Callithrix jacchus: one gene and its partners. The protein of the gene in region 2 purifies or fractionates together with the protein of the main gene of each other region. This does not show direct contact. Links are inferred from orthologs where the notes say so. Each region holds a gene or a part of one and is shown on either strand. Other genes may lie near its edges. The genes, in order: MVP, COP1, TRIB3 and ETV1.

Region 1 (5,915 bases), on a different chromosome or scaffold from region 2:
TGGAGAGACAAGGTCTTGCTATGTTGCCCAGACTGGTTGGTCTCAAACTCTTGGGCTCAAGTGATCCACTGCCTTGGCCTCCCAAAATGCTGAGATTCCAGGCATGAGTCACCGCACCCAGCCTAGAGACATTTTTTATTTTTCTCTCTTACCTGCACTTTCACACCAACAGCAAGTCTTGCTAACTCCAAGATGTACATTCCAAGTACCTCTGCTACTCTCCACTTTCAACACTATACCCCCATCCAAGCCACCATCTTTGCCTGGATAGTTGCAGTAGCTCCTAACTGGGCTCTCTGCTTCCAGTTTCTGCAACTCAGATGATCCTTTTAAAATATAAATCGTGTCACTTTTTTTTTTTTTTTTTGAGTCGAAGTCTCTCACCCAGATTGGAGTGTAGTGGCATGATCTCTGCCCACTGCAACTTGCGCCTCCTGGGTTCAAATGATTCTCCTGCATCAGCCTGCTGAGTAGCTGGGATTACAGGCACATGCCACCATGCCTAGCTAATTTTTGTGATTTTTAGTAGAGATGGGTTCTTGCCATGTTGGCCAGGCTGGTCCTAAACTCCTGACCTCAAGTGATCTGCCTGCGTCAGCCTCCCAAAGTGCTGAAATTACAGGCGTGAGCCCCTGCACCTGACCATAAGTCATGTCGCTTTTCTACTTAAAATTTTCCAAGGGATTCCATCTTGCCAGGGAAGAGCGAGAGTGCCAGCTCTCTGCACTCTTCTCTGAACAGAACTCTGTTCTTGTCCTGGGCCTTTACCCTTGCCGTCCCCCTCCCGCATATGGTCCTCCCTGCTCTTCACATTGCTCATGCCATCCTGTCATTCAAGACCTTCACCACTCACTCTTTCTGAGGCCCAACCCTGAACCTCAGGTCCTCCCAGACAGAGGCCTGGGGACCTGAATGTTTAACTAGCTCCCCAAGTAATGAGTGAGGTTCAGGCAGGTCTGGTGCACACCGCCTCCATCCTTTCCATGTATCTTACCTTCCCCTTCTCCAGGAAGCTCAGCCCGGAGCCAGAAACGGGAGGCCCGCCTGGACAAGGTGCTCTCGGACATGAAGCGACACAAGAAGCTGGAGGAGCAGATCCTTCGTACTGGAAGGGACCTCTTCAGCCTGGACTCGGAGGACCCCAGCCCCACCAGCCCCCCACTCCGATCCTCAGGGAGCAGTCTCTTCCCTCGGCAACGGAAATACTGACTCCTGCTGCTCCTGCCTCTAGGGTGCAGCATCTGTACCTGCTGGGACCTGGGCCCTCCTTCCCCAGCCCAGACACTGAGAAACTTGGGAAGAAGAGAGAAACCCCAAGCTCCCAAACAGCACGTTGCAGGAAAGAGGAAGAGAGAGGAGAGAGAGAGAGAGAGAGAGAGAGAGTGTGTGTGTGTGTGTGTGTGTGTGTGTGCGTGTGCATGTTTTCTATTGAACACCTATTTGGAGACTGGGACTGAATTTTCTGAGTCTGAAATAAAAGATGCAGAGCTATCATCTCTTAAGAGGAGTGGCTGTAGCTGGAGCCTCAACAGTTTGGTCCCTCTTGAAGGGAGAGGCAGAATTGTATTCACCCAGATTGGAAAATGAAAGCCAGATGGGCAGAGGCGCCCTCAGTCAGCACCTGCCCTGTCTCGCATTCTCCAGCCACACCCCAGTGCTGCCAGCTGGCTCCAAGGCAGAAACTGATGAGCGGGCAGGGAGCAGTGTGCCTTCAGCTGCAGCAGAGACAGCCCAGAGGACAAAATGAGAACCAGCTGCAGGGGCCCTTTAACTCTCAAGCCCCACCCCTGGGCCAGGCCTGGCTTGGCCTGCCGGGAAGTGATTCATCCCCAGGGCTGGGTGAGAGTTTTCCATCTCAGGCGTGTGTTGCAGCTAGCCGCACTTCTAGATGTGAGTACGTGGTACTGGCCGCCCAAACCTCAAATCCGGCAGATCTTTGTATCCCTTGAGGCTGTCTTTAACCCTGTCCTGTTTTCAAGGGCCTTGCTTCTGCTGGAGGGCAGGGAAAACCTGAATCAGAGTTGGGAAGGAGGATGGGCGGTGGCTTTGCTTTGGGAGATTTCACTTTCCAATAATTGAAGTTTTCTGGGTTTTGAAGTAAAGGTAGATTAACTCACCAACACTGTTCCCCACTGCCCTGCAACTCTCGGGCCTCTGACTTCAGGGTTCCACATGGGACATCAGGTGGGCAACCTCAGTGTTCATTCAGACCCCATCTCAGAGCTACATCGGTGCTCGCTCTACTTACCTGCACTGTCCTGGGGACCTGGGCTCTGGCCTTTCACCTTGAGCCCCAAGAATGTGACCTGTCCACATTCAGGCCCCTTAACTCTGACAGAGGAGGCTTTCCTACTGCCCCAGCCGGATGTTGACCTCAGCCGATCATTCCGGAAGTCATTAGAGTGATTTCTAGAAGGCATAGAATTTGGTAACCAAGGTTCTTTCCCTTTTTGGGAGGATGTTTAGCTGTACCCACCAGGCTGAGATTCTGGGGATCTTAGAGCAGTCCCTTGGGTGGGGGTGATAGTGAGGCTGATGGCCCCTGTGTCCTCTGCTCCTTGCCTAGGTGACCCCTGGGTGATGGGGGAAAAGGCTGGCTGTCATGTGGGGTATGAGGTGGCTCTCCCAGAAACTCCCTTGGCACACACAGCACTGGGTTGGCCCTGGGGTGTGGCTGTTTGGACAGGATAGCCCACTATAGCCTTGAGCAGGTAGGGAGGCCACCTTGAGAGGGTGGCCCAGAGACAGCCTGAGAGCTCCATGGTAACAGGGTGCTCAGGTTACCTTGGGTGTTGCCCTCCCAGGTTCTAGGGGAACAGAGGCTGGGCACTGGCCCGGGTTACAGAAAACACCTTTGAACTGCCATTGGCGCCATCTGGGAAAGTACCCAGCCCCACCCAGTTCCTCTAGTCCTTGTTCTTGGTTTAGAATCTTCCTGTTTCTGCCTGAAAAGCCACTGCCTCCTGGTTTGTGGTCTCTGCAGTCATGATGCCCAGAGCACACTTTGAGCTTCATCCTTTGATAACTGCGTGCTCTTGGGCAAGTTTCTTAACTTTCAGGCTCTTGTGAGGATAGCATGAGTTAATTGAGGCCTGACAGATTAAGCTCATGGTAAGTGGGAGCTATTACTTGGGGGCGTTTGCCTAGAACACAGGGTCCAGAGGCTGTCTCCAGGAAACCTAGACCCAGTGGGTCAAAAGTGAGGCCTGCAAAAAGCAGCAGGAGTGGGGTTAAGAATTCCAGCCCAGGGCTGGGCATGGTGACTCAGGCCTGAAATCCCAGCACTTTGGGAGGCCCAGGTGGGAGGATGGCTTGAGGCCAGGAGTTGCAGACCAGCCTGAGCAACATGAGGAGACCTCCGTCTCTTGTTTGTGTGTGTCGGCGGGGGGGTTGTTCTTTAAAAAAAAAAAAATGATAATAATTCCAGCTCAGTCCCACGATTAGACAACTTTAGAAAATATTGCTGTAGATGAGGGGTTCTGAAGCTTGGTTCGTGGGTCGTATCATATCCAGTTGGTTCTTGCCTCTGGTGACTGGTGTTAATTGGCAGGAATGGGGGGAGGGAGAACAAGTGGAGGTCTGGGCTGGCCTAGCTGTTCTGTCTCCCCCTTACCTCCTGAAGGTCACCAGGCTGTTCCCCCTCCCACAAAGTGGCCCAGTTGGGCTGGAGCTCAGATCCGATTTCCTTGGGAAGAGAAGTTCCTAAAACTGTGGCTTTTTAAAAAAGCAATTTATGTGAGACAGATTCGCAATTTCCATTAATGATCTCCTAAAGCGGGTAAACCAGGAAGCTGCTGGGTGAAAATAGGCTGTTGGTAATTCCTGAGTCATGTGACTCATTCTCTAAATAGACTAGAATATTTAACTTAAATCAGCGAGGAGAAACTCCATGAAGTTGTGTTCCTGTTTATACCAAACTTTACGTGCCTTTTCCTAAACCTGAAGCTGTGGGAGGTCTGGGGACAAGGCTGGGTCACCGACCTCACCTCCAACCTCTGGACTGCGCGGACCAAGAGCCCTGGGGTTGGGGATAGAGGAGGCTGCTTAGACCTGGGTAAGTGAATGGGCTGGAAGAAAATAAGTACAGTTCCCTGCCCTTGAGCAGCCTGCAATCTGAGCTGTGTGTTTTTGTTTTTGAGACAAGAATCTCAGTCTGTCGCCCAGGCTGGAGTGCAGTGGGGCAATCTCAGCTCACTGCGACCTCTGCCTCCTGGGTTCAAGCAATTCTCTTGCCTCAGCCTCCTGAGTAGCTGGGTCTATAGGTGCCCACTACCACACCTAGCCAATGTTTTGTATTTTTAGTAGGGACAAGGTTTTACCACGTTGGCCAGGCTGGTCTCGAACTCCTGACCTCAGGCAGTCTGCCCACCTTGGCCTCCAAATGTGTTGGGATTACAGCCACCGTGCCCAGCCTGGAACAGATCTTTATCCTCCTTCCAGGTCCTACTGTGCATCAGAGACCCTCTATCCTCTAATACCTCTGATTTCAGGAAGCAGTCATTTTTTTTTTCTTTTCTTTTTTTTTTTTTTTTGAGATGGTCTCAAAAAAAAAAGTGCATTGAGAGTGCATGCACTCTGTTGTCCAGGTTAGAGTGCACTTGTGGGTACCATTTACGGTTCACTGCAGCCTTGACCTTCCTCCTCCCACCTCAGCCTCCAAAGCAGCAGGGACCACAGGTGTGTGCCACCATACCTAGCTAGTTTTTTTTTTTTTTTTTTTTGAGGTGGAGTTTTGCTCGTTACCCAGGCTGGAGTGCAATGGTGCGATCTCGGCTAACCGCAACCTCTGCCTCCTGGGTTCAGGCAATTCTGCCTCAGCCTCCTGAGTAGCTGGGATTACAGGCACGCACCACTATGCCCAGCTAATTTTTTGTATTTTTGGTAGAGACGGGGTTTCACCATGTTGACCAGGATGGTCTCGATCTCTTGACCTAGTGATCCACCCGCCTCGGCCTCCCAAAGTGCTAGGATTACAGGCGTGAGCCACCGAGTCCGGCTACCTAGATAGTATTTTTTTATGATTTTGGTAGCGACGGGGTCTTCCTGTGTTGCCCAGGCTGGTCTTGAACTCCTAGTGTCAAGCGGTCTTCCCACCTTGGCCTCCCGAAGTGCTGGGATTACAGGCGTGAGTCACCAGGCCTGGTCAACAGTCGCTTTTATTACTCACTTCACTGGAGAGGAAAGCTCAGAGGCTAGCAAGTGGCCCGGGAGCATGCTCCCAGTGCTAAAAACTGCTGGAGTGACATTCTTCCACTGGCTCTCAATCCTGGCTATATGTTAAGAGTCAGAGGGGAGAACTTTTAAAAATTGCAGTGCTTGAACCTCACCCAGTCCAATTAAACAGAATCACCAGAGATGGATGGCTTTAAAAAAGATCTCCAGAAAGCTGGGCACTGCAGCTCATGCCTGTTATCCTAGCCCTTTGGGAGGTTGAGGTGGGTGGATCACTTGAGGTCAGGAGTACAAGACCAGCCTGACCAACATGGTGAAACCCCATCTCTTCTAAAAGAGAAATCGGAAATTAGCTGTGTGTGGTGGTGTACGCCTGTAATCCCAGCTACTTGGGAGGCTGAGGCAGGAGAATTGCTTGAACCCAGGAGGCGTAGGTTGCAGTGAGCCAAGATGTTACCATTGCTCTCCAGTCTGGGCAACAAGTGCGGAACTCTATCTCAAAAAAAAAAAATTTCCAGATGAGTCGTGTGTAGCCTGGGCCGTGAGTCTCTGCTTTAGACCAGAGCTGCTCAGACTTTTAACATGTGTGCAAGTCGTTGGTGGTCAAGTTATAATGCTGAGGATTCAGTGGCTTTGGGGTGGGGCCTGAGGCTGCATTGCTAACAAGCCTCCAGGTGGTGCCACTCTGCTCACTGCAGACGCCGTAGGCAGTGTGGTCACTGGTCAATTGCTAGTTAAGACTC
Region 2 (5,274 bases):
TTTTTTTTTTTCTTTTTGAGACACAGTCTCTCTCTGTAGTCCAGGCTGGAGTGCAGTCGCAATCTGTACTCACTACAGCTTCCACCTCCTGGTTTCAACAAGTGTCATGTTTCAGCTACCCCAGTAGCTAGGATCACAGGTGTGCACCACCACACCTGGCTAATTTTTGTATTTTTAATAGAAATGGGGTTTCACCATGTTGGCCAGGCTGTTCTCAAACTTCTAGCCTCAAGTGATGCACCAACCTCAACCTCCCAAAGTTCTGGGATTACAAGTGTGAGCCACTGCACCCGGCCCCTGCCTGGATTTTTTAATAAAATAATCAGTAGGCCGGGCACGGTGACTGACACCTATAGTTCCAGCACTTTGGGAGGCTGAGGCAGATAGATCACTGGAGATCAGGAGTTCAATACCAACCTGGCCAACATGATGAAACCCTGCCTCTACTAAAAATTAAAAAAAAAAAAATGAGCCAGGTGTGGTGGTGCACACCTGTAATCTTAGCTACTTGAAAGGCTGAAGCAGGAGAATCGTCTGAACCTGGGAGGTGGAGGTTGTAGTGGGCTGAGATTGGAGCCACTGCATTCCAGCCTGGGTGACAGAGCAAAACTCCATCTGGGGAGGAGGCGGGGAAGTGGCTCACACCTGTAATCCCAGCACTTTGAGAGGCTGAGGTGGGCAGATCACTTGAGGTCAGGAGTTTGAGACCAGCCTGGCTAATGTGGTGAAACCCTGTCTGTAACAAAAATATAAAAAATTAGCTAGGCGTGGTGGTGTGCACCTGTAATCCTAACTACTCAGGAGGCAGAGAATTGCTTGAACCTGGAAGGCGGACGTTGCAGTGAGCCGTGATCATCACACTATACTCTAGCCTGGATGACACAGAGAGACTCCATCTCAAAAAATAAAACAGAACAATAATAATAATCAGTTATCATAAAGGACTGCGTGAGTTTCAGTAAATTTTCGTATTTCTGCCAACGAAAGTAATTAAGGTTAGGAGGGCCAGGGAGAAGGGGGTAGTGAGAAAGAGATTCAAATAGTACCTTTTGCATCATCAGAACCTGAAGCCAAGAGTTTAGGATCCATCAAATTAAAGTCAACACTCCAACACCTCTTCTCATGCTCCTGGAAGCAGAAGGAAGACACAGTAGCCTCAGACAGAATAGAGATATCAAAATGAATAAAGCAAGAAAAAAAAAAGAAAAACTGATACCAATTTATTGTTATGGGGAGAGGGAAAGAAAATAGGTTAGAAAACAAATGAAAAGCAAGATGTTGATGCAAAGTACTTTTAAAACTTTTTATATATATACATTTACTAAAATTATTGCTTTTAGAAATATAGTTGATGCATTCTATAAAGACTAAAGTCTTAGGAAATGCTTTGGAAAAGTATTTGGTACCAAAAAAGGGAGATGGAAAAAAAAAAATATTTGGTATTGCATAGCTGTTACACTAGCAAAAAAAAAAAAAAAAAAACCAACAACACTAAATAGTGACTTCATATCTGTAATTCTAAAGCACATGAAATTCTAAAAGTTTTAACAAAATAAATATATGATCCATATAACATGTAACTACTACTCTTATTTACCTGATAGACCTTTGACCTCTGTCCGGTGAATCCATCCCATAAAATAACAGTGCCTTCATAATCACTGCTAGCTAACAGGTTCTTATGGTAACTACTCCAACTGATACAGCTGAAAGAAATACAGTTAAAAATTACTTTACATAAAAATAAATAACAATGGGATAAAAAGAATTTCAATGTGTTCAGAAAGATTTGCACTATTTAAAAATAGTCCATATCAGTTGACAATCATTATTCTGCCCAAAACGAACCTGGGAAAAGATAGCAATAATTTTGAAATTTTAAAAATTGAAGTGAACAAGTAATGAACCCAACCACTTTTTACTGTGATCACTAGCTGTAAGATGGGTGAGCCTGGAGCCACCACTGGCCATCTTTGATACATGAGGAAAGCATGCCCATCAGTGAAGGTGATACCGCCCAGAGGGCTCAAGGCATTCGATGACAGAATGACAGACCCAATAAGACTGTTTAAGACCCTATATCCATCTGTCCATTGAAAAAGTAAATAAATTTTAAATTAAAAAAAAAAAGACTCTGTATCCCGTTTTGCCAAACCATATAAGCCAAATAAACTATAGTGAATTGGGTTTCTGTATTTACATCCAAACTGTCTTGACTTGACTAATTATAACTTATGACTAAAATTATTAGTCCAATTAAAAGCATCTAAAAGAACCAAACATTTATCATTTATGGTTTTGGCTATTCTCAAGTGCTCCAAGTCTACAACATATAAAAATGTATACTTCTGCTGAGATACATATCTGCATCATGAATACAGTAAAGGGAGGGAATATTATGAAAGAAGCTACTTATAAAGCAGTTAATGTAAATGACTTCTTAGACATGAATAAAGCAAGAAAAAAAAGGAAAACTGATACCAATTTATTGTTATGGGGAAAGGGAAAGAAAATAGGTTAGAAAACAAATGAAAAGCAAGATGTTGATACAAAGTACTTTCAAAACTTTTTATAGCTTTTTATAAGGTCTTTTGCTTTCTACTAGTTGCATTCATGCTAAATTTCAGAGACTGGAAGAGTCCATTTGCATTTTTAAATATATTTAAATTTCTGGTAGAAACTATATGGAACAGTTAAGAGCCACATTTTGAATTTAGGCAGACTTGAGTTCAAATTCCAGATCTGTTACTTACTAGCTGTGGCTCTGGCTAATTTAGTTCACTTTCACAGTAGATGTGCTCCAAATCTATTTTAGACATGCTTAGGTATTGAGTGCTTTCACCATTTATTCCAATGTACCAGGAAGTATTGCAGATTTTTACATATATAATTACAGAACAGGTAGGTTGCACATTTAAATGTTCTAATCCACATTTTCATTATGTAACATAAATACTTGCTATGGGCCAAGTATCATTCTGAGTGCATTATGGAGATTTTTTTAAAGGTACAATCCTATTAAATAGGTATTACTGTCGTGGCCGCCATTTTATAAATAAGCAGCATGAAATGTTTAAGAGCACAGACTCTAGAAACAAACTACTTCAGTCTGAATCCTGGATCCTCTGTATACCAGCTGTATAATCTTGCACAGGTTAGTAAATACCTTTCTGTGCTCAGCTTTCTTTGTATAAAATGGAGCAATAATGGCAAGTTTCTCATAGGTCTGCTATAGACAACGCACTTAGGATAATGCCTGATATCTAAGAATTCAATAAAGTTGTATCTAATTCTTGTTATATCCTCTTCACTTAGGACATAAACTGTAATAGATTCTCAACAACGAGTGCCACTAATGAATGGGCAAGCTCACCAATTATCAAGATAGTATTTTTATAAATGAACTAAAAAAAAAAAAACTATAACAAATTAATTATACAAAGATTGTAACAAACATACTATGTATGTCATTTAAATAGTTAAGAAAGGTTCAAGGATGGCTATTTTGAAAATGTTCAAAGTTACATACAAAGTTATTATTAGACGATTTCCTCATAAAGCCAATGCTCATGAGAACAGCTTGGGAAGCTTGTTTAGAAAACAAACAAAAAGCATATTCTAAGATTCTTCTGAGATTTTTTGGAGAGAAGATCAAGTAGAGTCTGTAAACATTAACAGTATTTTATGTCTGAAAAGCACTGCTTATGAAGTATAATCTCTAAAACATAAAACATAAACACCATTCCTTCAGTGCAAAGCAGAATGTTCTTATAAAAAATTCTTAAAACTAGAAACCATTCTGTTATGTTGAGAGATATGTCCATGCTAGGGGAAAAATTCCTGATGTTTTTATATTAAGGTACATTAATCCTTATTCAGTACTCCACGGCGTCTCCGACAATCACCTGCAACAAAGACCTTTATTTGATTAAGTGAAAGAAGAGCTTTCATTTGGCAACTAGGAAAAAAAAAAAAGGCTAACCCCACAAGAAAAAAGCAAGCAGTATCTGCAAGAAAGATGATCTTAATAATAATATATACTCTGAATATACAGTACAATTATAGTGTTCACCATGAATGAGTAAGAAGTATCATGGAGCTGAGGGCACGGTAGCTCACGCCTGTATCCCAGCACTTGGGGAGGCCGAGGCCAGTAGATCATGAGGAGAGGAGTTCAAGACCAGCCTGGCCAATATGGAGAAACCCTGTCTCTACTAAAAATACAAAAAAAATTAGCCAGGCAGCGGTGGGCGCCAGTAATCCCAGCTACTCTGGAGGTGGAGGCAGAGAATCACTTGAACCCGGGAGGCAGAGGTTGCAGTGAGCCGAGATCACGCCACTACACTCCAGCCTGGGCGACAGAGCGAGACTCCATCTCGGGAAAAAAAAGAAAAAAAAGTGTCATGGCAAGGTAAAATAATCTCATGATAATTACATATGCAAATTGTTACATATATACTGTATCATGTGAAGAAATAATGTAAATACCTGATTTTGGAATTGCAGGTCATTTCATTTTCAGGGTAATGAATATCCACTGCATCCTGGATGACGGTGCCATATTCATAAACTTTAATCTTCTTTGTAACCCCAGCAATCGCAAAATAGTCACAATCCCGGTCAAATTCAATACTAAGGGGAAAAAGTATACGCCTTGCTCAATAAGACTATTTACTTCTCCGTGTGACATTTATAAAGACAACATTTCAGAATTTGCTATTTTCTAGTTCTAAAGTAATTCTCTCTACAAGGATAAGAGATCTACTTTAAATGCCTTTAAGTTGTTCTAGGCCTCATATCCAGATTAAGTCATCAACACATATCAAATTAAAAGTCTTTGAGACTTGTGTATATCTACACAATTGTGCACAGGTGTACTTTTGTTCCTAGATATCTGACATGCTCTTCATTCAGCTCTAATAACCATATCACAGCTTAGTGAGAAAGATTTAATGGCATGAATTATTTGATATACCAGAAGTACGCCAAAAGATAATTATCAACTCATTTTTCATACATTCTAGTTATTTCCCTGACATTTTGTGGAGATGGTAGAATTTTGCAATATTCAATTTTTCAAAAAATATATTAGTATATAAGTTGAATTACTGAAGCAACTGGGTGATGACAAGTGGAGAGCATACATATAATCGAACCACTAAATTATCACTACTTTTTCCCAAATCCATACCTAATTCCCTCCCCAAATAGCTCTCTGAATTATAAAACCCCAATGCACACTCCTTATACCACAACAGGTTAAAAAATAGTAAA
Region 3 (5,274 bases), on a different chromosome or scaffold from region 2:
ACCTTGAGGGTCACTGGGCAATTCTAGTGTGCGCCAGCCTGGCTGATGTCTGCATCGGCAGTCAGGTGGAGGGTCGGTGGCCTGGCATCACATGATCTAGGATTACCTCTCTGGAGTATCTGCAGTTAGCAGGCTGTTGGCTGGGCCTCCTCACTTCTGCACATTCTTTTCCCCACGATTCACTCGCTCTCTGAACCTAGTTTTGCTCATTAATCACTCCCCCTCCTATAAGCACACGAGCTCCACCTACAGCTGGAGGAGTGCCACGGTTAGTGTAAGCACGTGCTCCATGAATGTAAGCTGGTGATTGGTTAGAAACGGGTACCTGATGCAGTTCTGACCAATAAGATGTGTGGGAAGGTCGGTCAGAAGCGCTTCTGGGAAAGTTTCCTTCATCCCAATGAAGAGATGCGGGAGCAACTTTTATTGCTGGCTTATTATGCCAGGCGCTGCTTGTTCTAAATGCTTTACACAAAGTACTCATTCAGGTTCTCATAAGTTAGGTACTATTATTGTCCCGCATGGTACAGATGAAGAATCTGAGGCACAGAGTGATTAAGAAACTTGCCAAGAGTCAAACAGCTATTGAGTGCTGGAGCCAGGATTTAATTCTGGGCAGCCTGACTCCAGAGTTCCGAGTTCTCAGGTAGTACAATGCCCCTGCCTTCTTCCTCTGGTCACGGACCTCTCTAATGTGACACCTGCTGTAGCCATTGGGCCAGCAGTCTCGAGGGACAATACAGTCAAGAGACAGAAGGAGCCTGGAGAGCAGGGGTCTTGCTCACAGCCTGGAGTTGAATGGACCAGCACTGAAGCCCACCCTATCCACTGACTTCTTGCTTTGTGTGAAACGTATTTCTGTCTTGTTGAAGCCATTTTGACTCAGAAAGTACCCTAATAGAGACACCGCTGCTGCCAGAAGAGACAGAGGGAGTGCAGGAAAACCCGCTGGGCTCCAGGTAATCTGTTCTTACAAACCACTCAGCTGAGACTGAGACACAACTCCATGGCTTTTCACCATGGGGGCCAGTTTTGAAGGCAAGGAAAATGGATAAAAGATGGTTGCAAAGGATGGAAGAAATCGCCTAGGTAAATAGAAGTATTTCATAATTCTTTATTAGGCACAGGTGAAAATACATACTCATGGCATCCAAAACCTAGAGTATCGACCTGGGATCGTGGACCCCAACTGTTCCCAGAACAGTCCCACCTGGGACTTTCCAGGTGGCCACAGGACAGACCCTGCCTAATCCTGTCCCTCAATCTTGGTGCTTAGGTCAGAAGTGCCATGGTTGACGGGCCTGGACCCTCATTCCAGAACATTCTTGAGTTAGACAAGTACTAGCCTCATAGTTTGGATTCTTATCTCTGGCCCAAATCCCGGGCTTGGGCCTGGAAAGAGAATCTCTTGATCAAGAGGACAGAGATGCTGGGAACACAGGTCCCAGAGTGAGCTGGGCTTGGGTCCTGAGTTTCAGGGGAGTGGCCTGGAGCCTTTGGCACAGGGATACCTCCCTTTCTCTGAAAAGGTACAAGATAAAAAGGCAGCTGGTTTGTTTGTGAAACGGATTGTCCTTGGACAGAGGTGCCTGAACACCAGTACCAGTGGAGGCTGACACTGGCACAAAGTGTACCCAGTGTAGACAGTGACCGATGGCCATAGAAAAGTGTTGTCAGCTCAGGAATGCCAGTTTGTCATCTCTATGAGCAGGGAGTATTGTTCCTTTGCTCACTGCTGTGTTCCCAGCACCTAGAACAGGGCTTGGCGCTTGATAAGCACCCAAGCAGGAATTGCATGTGTGTGGAACAAAGCAGGTGTGTACACAGCACACTCCATGCAGGCTTCTGCCTTTCTCCCTTCTAAAGGCACTGAAGGTTTGGCTCAGCTCAGAGGCAGGAGAAAGCTTGGAGCCACCCCAAACTCAATCCACTGTTGGCAGCTGAGCGTGTAGTGGGGTGGCCCTAGCCATACAGAACCAGTTCGCTGTCTTCCTCTTCTTCCTTGGCTTCATCCAGCCTCGGTCCATCAGGGACCACCTGATCAGCCTCCCAGAGATGGGATCGGGTTGGGGCTGAGGGCATCGGGTCCTCCCGCAGCCAGGGGTGCAGGAGGATGCTTGTGGCTGTAAGCCGCTCAGCTGGCTCCCGACGAAGGAGGCAGCGAACCAGACAGCGGGCAGGGGCTGAGAGGCCTGCAGGCAAGGCATAGGCCCCGCGGCGGATCTTGCCAAAGAGCAGGACAGGCTCTGAGTCCTGGAAAGGGTAGTGGCCGGCCAGCATGGTGAAGAGTGCCACGCCCAGGCTCCAGACATCCGCTGCCTTGCCTGAGTATGATGCCTGTGAGCTGAGTATTTCAGGTCCCACATAGGCTGGGCATGCGTTCTTATCCCACAGGGAATCATCTGGCCCGGTCAGCACACAGGTGTCCTCCAGGTTCTCCAGCACCAGCTTCTTCCTGGGACATGGGGAGAAACATAAGGGTCAAGTCCCACCCAGAGCCCCCATGCCACTACCCCATACTGTCACCTTAGTGGCACCCACTTTCAAGTGCCTGCTGGTCTTTGACAGACACAAGTCAGTCTTTTGATGTCTGATCCTGTTTTCCAGAAAACTAAGCCCAGGCTCAGAGAGGTTAAGTCAGTTAAGGCCACAGAGCAATTAAATTTAAACTAACATTCTGAACGGAATAAATTTCTCAACAGTCCCTTGGGAAGGGGACTGATGGGGCTTAGAGAGTTAAGCCTCTCTTAAACCAGATGCAAACTTAGGGTCCAAACTTAGGGAAGAGTGCCAGACATTTCAGCGCAAGCCCTGCCTAAAAAGGGCACCACCAACGACACATTCTAGGGTTTATCAAGTGTCCGCTGTGTTCTTCGCCCTTGGCCCAGCTTATTACCTGGCTTATCTCATTCTATCCAGGCTACAACGTGCAAGGACACCGTTTTACAGCTCTAGAGCATCAGCCTGGGATGGGAACCCTGGCTCGCAGATACCCAGAGCCAGTGCTGTGACCCACTCTCGTAGTTTTCAAGGTGGCCCCATGTTCCCATTCTTTTCCCCAAGAGAGTCAGGAATCCTATTTTAATGAAAAAGTCCCCATTTAAAAAATATTGGCAATGAGTTTCAATAAAAAACACGAACAGGAGCAGGGCAAAAAGAAAAGTGTGTGTAAGGCTGGGCGCGGTAACTCACACCTATGATCCTAGCACTTTGGGAGGCCGAGGCAGGTGGATCACTTGAGTTCAGGAGTTCACGACCAGCCTGGGCAACATGGTGAAACCATCTCTACAAAAAATACAAAACTTAGCCAGGTGTGGTGACTCACGCCTGTGGTCCCAGCTACTTGGGAGGCTGAGGCAGGAGGATATCATTTGAGCCCAGGAGGCAGAGGTTGCAGTGAGCTGTGATAGCTCCACTGCACTCTAGCCTGGGGGACAGAGTGAGAACCCATCTCAAAAAAAAAAAAAAAGTGTATCCTGCCATTTGCAATTTCTAGTTTAAACAGAGCACTCTAAGATGACTTTCATAGCAATCATTCTGTTACCACTGCTATTCATTTCTTCTTTATGGCACCACTTCCTGGGTGTCCATTGGCATTTCACAAATACCGACCAATCCTATGAATCACAGTATTGAGGGACGAGGAGTGTCAGCATTATTGGCCCATTTTACAGATGAAGATACAAAGGCTCAGGCAAGTGAAGTCATTTCTCGGGGCCAAAAAGCCGGTCAGAAGCAGAACCCAGGATTTAAACACAGGTCTATCTAACTCACGGTCTCTCTTCTACCAGTGCCTCTCATGTGACTTTTCTTCTTTAGAGACAGGGTCTCACTCTGTCACCTGGGCTGGAGTGCAGTGATGCAATCCTAGCTCACTGCAACCTCAAACGTCTGCGCTCAGCCTCCCAAGTAGCTGGGATCACAGGTGTGCACCACCACACCTGCCTAATTTTTCTAAATTTTTGTGCAGATGGGGTTTCACTATGTTGCCTAGGCTGGCCTCGAACTGTGGTGTTTAAGCAATCCTCCTGCTTAGGCCTCCCAAAGCACTGGGATTACAGGTATGAGCCATCAGATGATTTCTTAAAAAGAGCAGGAAGCACATTCTCTCTTCCAGAAGGTCTGGGGTAGTTGTATCTACTCTGAGCTTAAAATATGTTTGAAGTTATGCACTAGCTTAAAAGTCATTATAAATTCTACTTCTTTAAAAAAGGCATGCTTCTTTTACTATAAAATGTAAAAGGAAATATTAATAGAAAATCAGCCTTTGGGGCTGGGCGCGGAGGCCCACACCTATAATCTCAGCACTTTGGGCCAATACAGGCAGAGCACTTGATGTCCGGAGTTCAAGACCAGCCTGGCCAACATGGCAAAACCCCATCTCTATTAAAAATACAAAAATTAGCCAAGTGTGGTGGTGTGTCCCTGTTATCCCAGCTACTCAAGAGGCTGTCGGGAGAATCGCAAGAACCCAGGAGGCAGAGGTTGCAGGGCGTCAGGATCATGCCACTGCACTGCAACCTGGGCAACAGGGCGAGACTGTCTTAAAAGAAAAGAAAATTAGTCTTAGGCAAGCACCACAGTAATAACTGCTACAGGCAAGATGGATGGCTGCTAAAATTAGTAGGGGAAAGTTGAGGAAAAACAGGATATTTATATGCTTAGCTTACCTACCCCAAGGTATTTATCCATTACAAAGGCTAAATTAAAAACCTTAGAGGAGAGAAACCTGGCAGGTCCTACCCTAACCAAGTGATCAAGGTTACAACACAGTAATGACTATCAACTCAATGATATGATGTGGAGAGGGACCTATCAATTCTGTGTTGTTCTTGCCAAAAATATATAACCACGGCTGGGCGCGGTGGCTCACGCCTGTAATCTCAGCACTTTAGGAGGCAGAAGTGGGTGGATCACCTGAGGTCAGGAGTTCAAGACCAGCCTGACCAACATGGTGAAACCCCATCTCTAAAGAGATTATATATATATATATATAAAACTGCAATCTAACTTTAAGAAAACGTCAATCAAATCCAAATTGAGGGACATACAAAGTAACTGATCAGTACTCTTCAAAAGTCTCAAGGTTATGGTGGGAGCAGTGGCTCACACCTATAATACCAGCACTTTGGGAGGCTGAGGGGGGGCAGATTGCTTGAGCTCAGGAGTTCGAGGCCAGCCTGGGCAGTATAGCAAGACCCCATCTCAATTAGCCAGGCATGGTGGCACACACCTGTAAACCAGCTACTCAGGAGGGTGAGGTGGGAGGATCAC
Region 4 (5,274 bases), on a different chromosome or scaffold from region 2:
AGCTTTTGCTGGGTATGTGATGTACATATCGCTTTCATGACCTACTATGAGCCATCACTGTGACAAACCTGAATGCCTAGTTGGAAAGAGCAATAGCACAGCATAGTATAGTATTTCTATCATAAGGATACGGGAGACATAAGTAACCTCAGGTGCATAATTGGTAAAGAAATGTAAAATAATTAGGAAGTGATGAGTTTTGCATTTTTATCTTTTGTTTTTAACATATATTTTGATGGTGCAGTTATGTAATTTGACTCTTAATAGTGACACTGTTTAAGAAATGGCTCAAAAATTTCCTGTAATTTAACAATAGGTCAATGCAAACTGTCTCTGAGACACCACTGTAAAAATAACTCAGCCAAAGAAATCTTCTAGATCAGCAGAGGAAAGCAGAAGATGTGCCACTGGCAACCTTCTAAATATAAGGGAGCACTCAAATCTGCTTTTTATAGTTTTTTTCATGGGACTCAATCTCTAATTCAGGAACTCATTTTGCAATAAAGGGCATAAGATGAAAGCATTCTTTACAATGTGACACAAAGCCTTATCTTTTCCACCCTTGTTTTCATCACTAAATCCTCTTGTGGGGTGGTTATTAAATGCTTCCTATTATCTTTTTCTTCTCACCCCATAGCCTTGAGTCTTTGTCAGAGGGCAATGGTATGTGCATCTGTGTAAACAGTTTTGTAAATACAGATGAAAGAATTCTTATTGCAGGGTGGGCCATTAAACAGATGCACATTGTGCAGAGCTAAAAGGGAAGGAAAGTATGAACAAACAAAGTTTTATTTTCTCCACTACTGGCGACTTCTTGGAGTTCTTGATAATTGAAGCTCCCTCTTCTGATCAGTGCCAGAATTATAGATTGTATAATTCGCTTTTGGTGCAAACTAGTTATTTCTTGGTGAAGGTGACTGCTGAATAAGCAATGTGCCTGGTTTTAGGTGACCTAACTTGAAATGCTTTTTAGCCAAATCCATTTTAGTTTCTCTACTTGAAGTCAAATATTTGAGACTGAGAACAGCCGGCCCGGAACTCCAAGAGGGAAGCTCAGGGTCTTTTCCCACTGACCCCTGACTGAGTTTTGAGGACAGTACCAGCTGGCCAGTCCCAGGAAAATCTCTAAAGCCGTATGTTTCTGAGGAGGATTTCTTAGAGGGCTCTGGCCAATAAATGACAGTCCCTCAGTTATAAATGGCAAATTTGCTCTGGGAACAGATCCTTTCCCCAGAACACCCCCTCCAGCCAGGCACCCCACTTCACTCTGGGAACGCTTGACAGCCAACTGGCCTGCACCCTGCTTCCTTTCCTCAGCCTCGCTCTGCTCCTCGGGCCAGCCCTTTGGCACCTTTTCCTTAACCCACTGTGCAGGAGTCCTGTCTCTCTTTCTCAGAGTTTCCACCACTTAAGCCCCATTTTTTCTTTATCGACGAGTTCATCAGCATGTTCTCCTTATCTGTTAACTCCTTTGCAGAAGCTTCTTGAATCACATTCTCTTCACCATTGGTCAGTGACTCCTAAGAATTGCACCAAAACCTTGCAAGTTTTCGGGAAGCATGGGTGTTTGATACATATATGTTCCCCAGCAACTTCCAACTGGGATCAGGTCGACTGGTAAAAACGAACGGCTTGATTCCTTACAAAGCTTTCAGTTACAAGTATTATTAACTTCCTTTTAAGGCTTTACAAGTGAGCCAGTTTCTTATTTTAACTTCAAGTTACAATTTTCTGATTCACTCCTTGACAGTCCTTAATGATAATTTCTGTTTCTTTTTTTGGCTAATGAAATAAGCAAGAGAAGGGAAATGAATGCAGTGCCATTCAGCCTAACTGCTTTGCAATATCCGAGTTTCTAAGTTTATTTTCTGCAGGTGTAGGTGGAATTTCAGTGCTTTCCCTCACCACCAGTGAGCCTAGAGTTAAATCACAGGATGGAGTGTTCTTAGAAATGCTAAAGCAATCGCTGTGCCATTCTTTAGCTTTTACCTTATTTTCATTTAACATTACCGAAATTAAATGCTAACTTTCCAAATTAAAGTCTCAGGAATGCTTTTAGTTGGGGGGGTGGTTAATAGGCTTATATTTGCTCATAGAAATGTTTTATAGGTTATTTTTAAGCACTCTTGGGGCATTTTTAGAGCACTTTTAAATCTTTAATTAATCCACATCTTTGTGGTGGGTCAATGATATTATGGATGAGAGACACAGAACAGAATGATTATGTGATTAGCCAATCATTACAAAGTAGAACCAAGAACAAAGAAGGTATAGGACGTAATCCTAGCTGTCTGCCAAGGCCTCAGAACTTCCTCATGTCCTAACAGTGGGACTTGCCCCAAATCTATACAACACTATCTGTTATTTTCACCTTTGGAGATCAGTTGTATATTTTTGCTTGTTTTTATCAACCTGATACTGTATTTGAATCTATAGGAAGCCAATATGGTCTGCATTGCTGTTTGACAGTAAAGAGGTAATTTTTTTAAAACCAGCTTGGTTTTGAGTCCTTATAATACTCAGTTTGTTTCTTACAATGTTAATTAGGACATTGTTGAGGAATTAAAAGTCCTGCTGATTTGAGAAAAGAGTCATTCTTCTCTTGCTTCCTCAGCAATGGATGGCAATGGAAGGAAAACCAATAAATTGATTTTTGTTTTTTTTTTTTTTTGCTTATTGATTAGTTTGGTAACAGATTTAAAAGATAGAAGATGCAGTTTGAGATCAGACTGTTTCCCCCCGCCTTTTTTTTCCTTGTAGATAATCACTTAAGGCCCTTTTTGTGTGGAAATCATAAGTGATCCAATTGATTTAGATCTGGACATTTTAGCCATTAAGGGATGTGTGTGTGTGATCCTCAGAGTTGCTCATTGCTCTCCAATCTGTACTCAAAGTCCATCTTTAATTCATATAGTGCAACAGTGCCGCAAGAGACTGATTAGAAGGGGAATACAAGTCATATGATTAAAAAGCATAGAGCCTCTAATCTAGGAAAGAAAAATGTAATGTTTGTTAAAGATTTCCACTTCAGGTCGGCTGGTATCATGTTCATTCACTAAGACATGAAAAACCGTATTAGTATTTTAAAGAATGTTCCATGTTACCATTTCATCTGAAACACACTCTTTTACTCCCTAGATTTCGCCGCCAGCTTTCTGAACCCTGTAATTCCTTTCCTCCTTTGCCGACAATGCCCAGGGAAGGACGTCCTATGTACCAACGCCAGATGTCTGAGCCAAACATCCCTTTCCCACCACAAGGCTTTAAGCAGGAGTACCACGACCCAGTGTATGAACACAGCACCATGGTTGGCAGTGCGGCCAGCCAAAGCTTTCCCCCTCCTCTGATGATTAAACAGGAACCCAGAGATTTTGCATATGACTCAGGTAGGCCTGTGCTCTGCTCAAATTACATTCAAGGCACCTTTTCACCTCCCTTGTCACATTGGTTAGTGTTGATAGCAGACTGGGTAGCTCTTGACCATTTTTTTAATGAGATCTTTCAGATTTTGTCCCTTCACTGAAACGTCATCTACGTGTAAAGAATTGGATTTCAAGTCATTTTGACATGACGTGAGGTTGAGATAGTGTCTGAAAACAAAAGCAGTTTAAAGAAAAGTACACTTTACAGAATTATGCACACTCTCAGCTCGAGAGGGATACTGCAGTTTTTTTTCTTAATTCAGTGCTTTTTTTAAATTTTTCTATTTTGCTACTGCAGTGCTACTTAATAGCAATGTTTACCAAAAGTAATATTCTTCTGACATGGGTCATATATTGCTTATAACATTAAAAAAATTATTGGTGGCAAAGACTCTGTTTGTAAGTAAGAATTCTTATATATTGATGGGAACAACACAGATTATTCATAGAGCTTAGCTTTGTCTCTGTGAGCTAGAAAGTAGTACAGAGCAGCATATCGAGGGGGAGAGAGGGGTTTCCTGAAAGGAGAGAGGGTTTGAAATCTTTTCCAAATAATATCGCCAACTTTGCCAGTATTTGAACCTTGAGATTTTAGAAGAATTACTTAACTCTGTTGAGTTTTTCCTTCTATAGTCTGCCAAATCAGGACATCTGTTTTTAACACATCTCAGGTATTTTGAAAAAATCTATGAAATAAAAGCTAATGTTTATAAGGTTACCATGTACCTTATAATCACTGAGGCAGGCAGTGATTCTCCTGCCTAAGCCTCCTGAGGCAGTAGAATATTATTAGCGTTATTGTATCAGTGGTCAATAGTTGGTTGTGGATATGGAAATATTTGAGAACAATATCATTTCCTTTTGTCTGGATATAAAGTTTGGGCATTCTTTGTGAAGGAACTGTTGCTTCCTCTGTGAGTTCTATCAGTCTACTGGAGTAAAAACTATCTCCACATCTGGAGTTATCAATTTGCATATAAGATTACCTGCTTCATAATGAACTTCCCTTAAGGCTCTGCAAAAGAGAGCCTATGACTTAGAAGTCTCCCTCTGGTCATCCTTTGTGTACCCTTCTGCACTGGCCAGTAGGTTCAAAGGACTAAGGAAATTGGCCACCTTGAGGCATGCTTCAACTTCTAAAAAGTGTGCCAGCTCCCCAAGATCTATGAATTCTTTGCCCACTGGCCTTCCAGGACCTGAGCGAATTCATCCCAGGCCCTGTTTTCTGAAGGCAGAGCACATTGCTCCTATAGATAGCCCTAGGAGCCTCTCACAGTATGGCACGATATTGAGATCAAGGATAGGAAGAGAAACAAAAAGTAGGGTGGGCTAGGATCTGAAGACTGGGCACTGGCTCTCTCCATACCATCATACTCTACCAGGCTAAATTTGGAGATTTCCTCAACTACTAAATTTAACATAGCTATGAGTTTGTTTTGGGATAGTTGCAAAGATGAGGAGCAGACACCTTATTTATCAGTTTGCTTGGTTGATTTATGATTTAAGAAATTTTAAGAGATTGTATAAGGGTCTTTATTTAAATTTTTGCCCCAGGGACTACAATTTGGGGACCATCTTGAAATTCTCATTGTGGTTTCAGTGTAGAACCTTTTGTACACTGGTATTCAGATACAATAGCAAGAGCAATACAGTGGGCTCTACTATAAATAGTATACCTTTCTCTTCATAAATTTCAAATCCTGTTAATTGATAATGTAATTTGTTATAGTTTCTTAAATTCATCATGATTTCAAGAAACCTTACATGGAAATCTACAAATTAGCTCAAATAATCATGGCACTAAAAAAGTTTCTTTTTGTGCTCTAAAAATCATTTTTGTTTGTTTGTTTTG

What was found.
Region 1: the proteins of COP1 (region 2) and MVP purify together in Homo sapiens (affinity purification with mass spectrometry; 3 studies listed by BioGRID and IntAct, with this or other methods). This does not show direct contact. The link is inferred for Callithrix jacchus from reciprocal best matches to the Homo sapiens genes COP1 and MVP.
Region 3: the proteins of COP1 (region 2) and TRIB3 purify together in Homo sapiens (affinity purification with mass spectrometry; 5 studies listed by BioGRID and IntAct, counting the BioPlex papers as one, with this or other methods). This does not show direct contact. The link is inferred for Callithrix jacchus from reciprocal best matches to the Homo sapiens genes COP1 and TRIB3.
Region 4: the proteins of COP1 (region 2) and ETV1 purify together in Homo sapiens (affinity purification with mass spectrometry; 4 studies listed by BioGRID and IntAct, counting the BioPlex papers as one, with this or other methods). This does not show direct contact. The link is inferred for Callithrix jacchus from reciprocal best matches to the Homo sapiens genes COP1 and ETV1.

The regions. Positions count from the first base shown.
Region 1 is NC_133513.1:29,686,962-29,692,876, reverse strand, and holds the start of MVP (major vault protein), read left to right. Parts: upstream 1-1,831; 5' UTR 1,832-1,890; intron 1,891-2,937; exon of another isoform or gene 2,938-3,111; intron 3,112-3,873; exon of another isoform or gene 3,874-4,054; intron 4,055-5,915. Other genes in the region: PAGR1 (PAXIP1-associated glutamate-rich protein 1), read left to right, coding at 1,010-1,209. UniProt on the Homo sapiens protein: Required for normal vault structure. Vaults are multi-subunit structures that may act as scaffolds for proteins involved in signal transduction. Vaults may also play a role in nucleo-cytoplasmic transport.
Region 2 is NC_133519.1:27,120,797-27,126,070, reverse strand, and holds part of COP1 (E3 ubiquitin-protein ligase COP1), read right to left. Parts: intron 4,633-5,274; coding exon 4,489-4,632; intron 1,707-4,488; coding exon 1,598-1,706; intron 1,129-1,597; coding exon 1,047-1,128; intron 1-1,046. UniProt on the Homo sapiens protein: E3 ubiquitin-protein ligase that mediates ubiquitination and subsequent proteasomal degradation of target proteins.
Region 3 is NC_133506.1:8,144,705-8,149,978, reverse strand, and holds the end of TRIB3 (tribbles homolog 3), read right to left. Parts: intron 2,456-5,274; coding exon 1,963-2,455; 3' UTR 1,103-1,962; downstream 1-1,102. UniProt on the Homo sapiens protein: Inactive protein kinase which acts as a regulator of the integrated stress response (ISR), a process for adaptation to various stress. Inhibits the transcriptional activity of DDIT3/CHOP and is involved in DDIT3/CHOP-dependent cell death during ER stress.
Region 4 is NC_133512.1:44,532,296-44,537,569, forward strand, and holds part of ETV1 (ETS translocation variant 1), read left to right. Parts: intron 1-3,138; coding exon 3,139-3,386; intron 3,387-5,274. UniProt on the Homo sapiens protein: Transcriptional activator that binds to DNA sequences containing the consensus pentanucleotide 5'-CGGA[AT]-3'. Required for olfactory dopaminergic neuron differentiation; may directly activate expression of tyrosine hydroxylase (TH).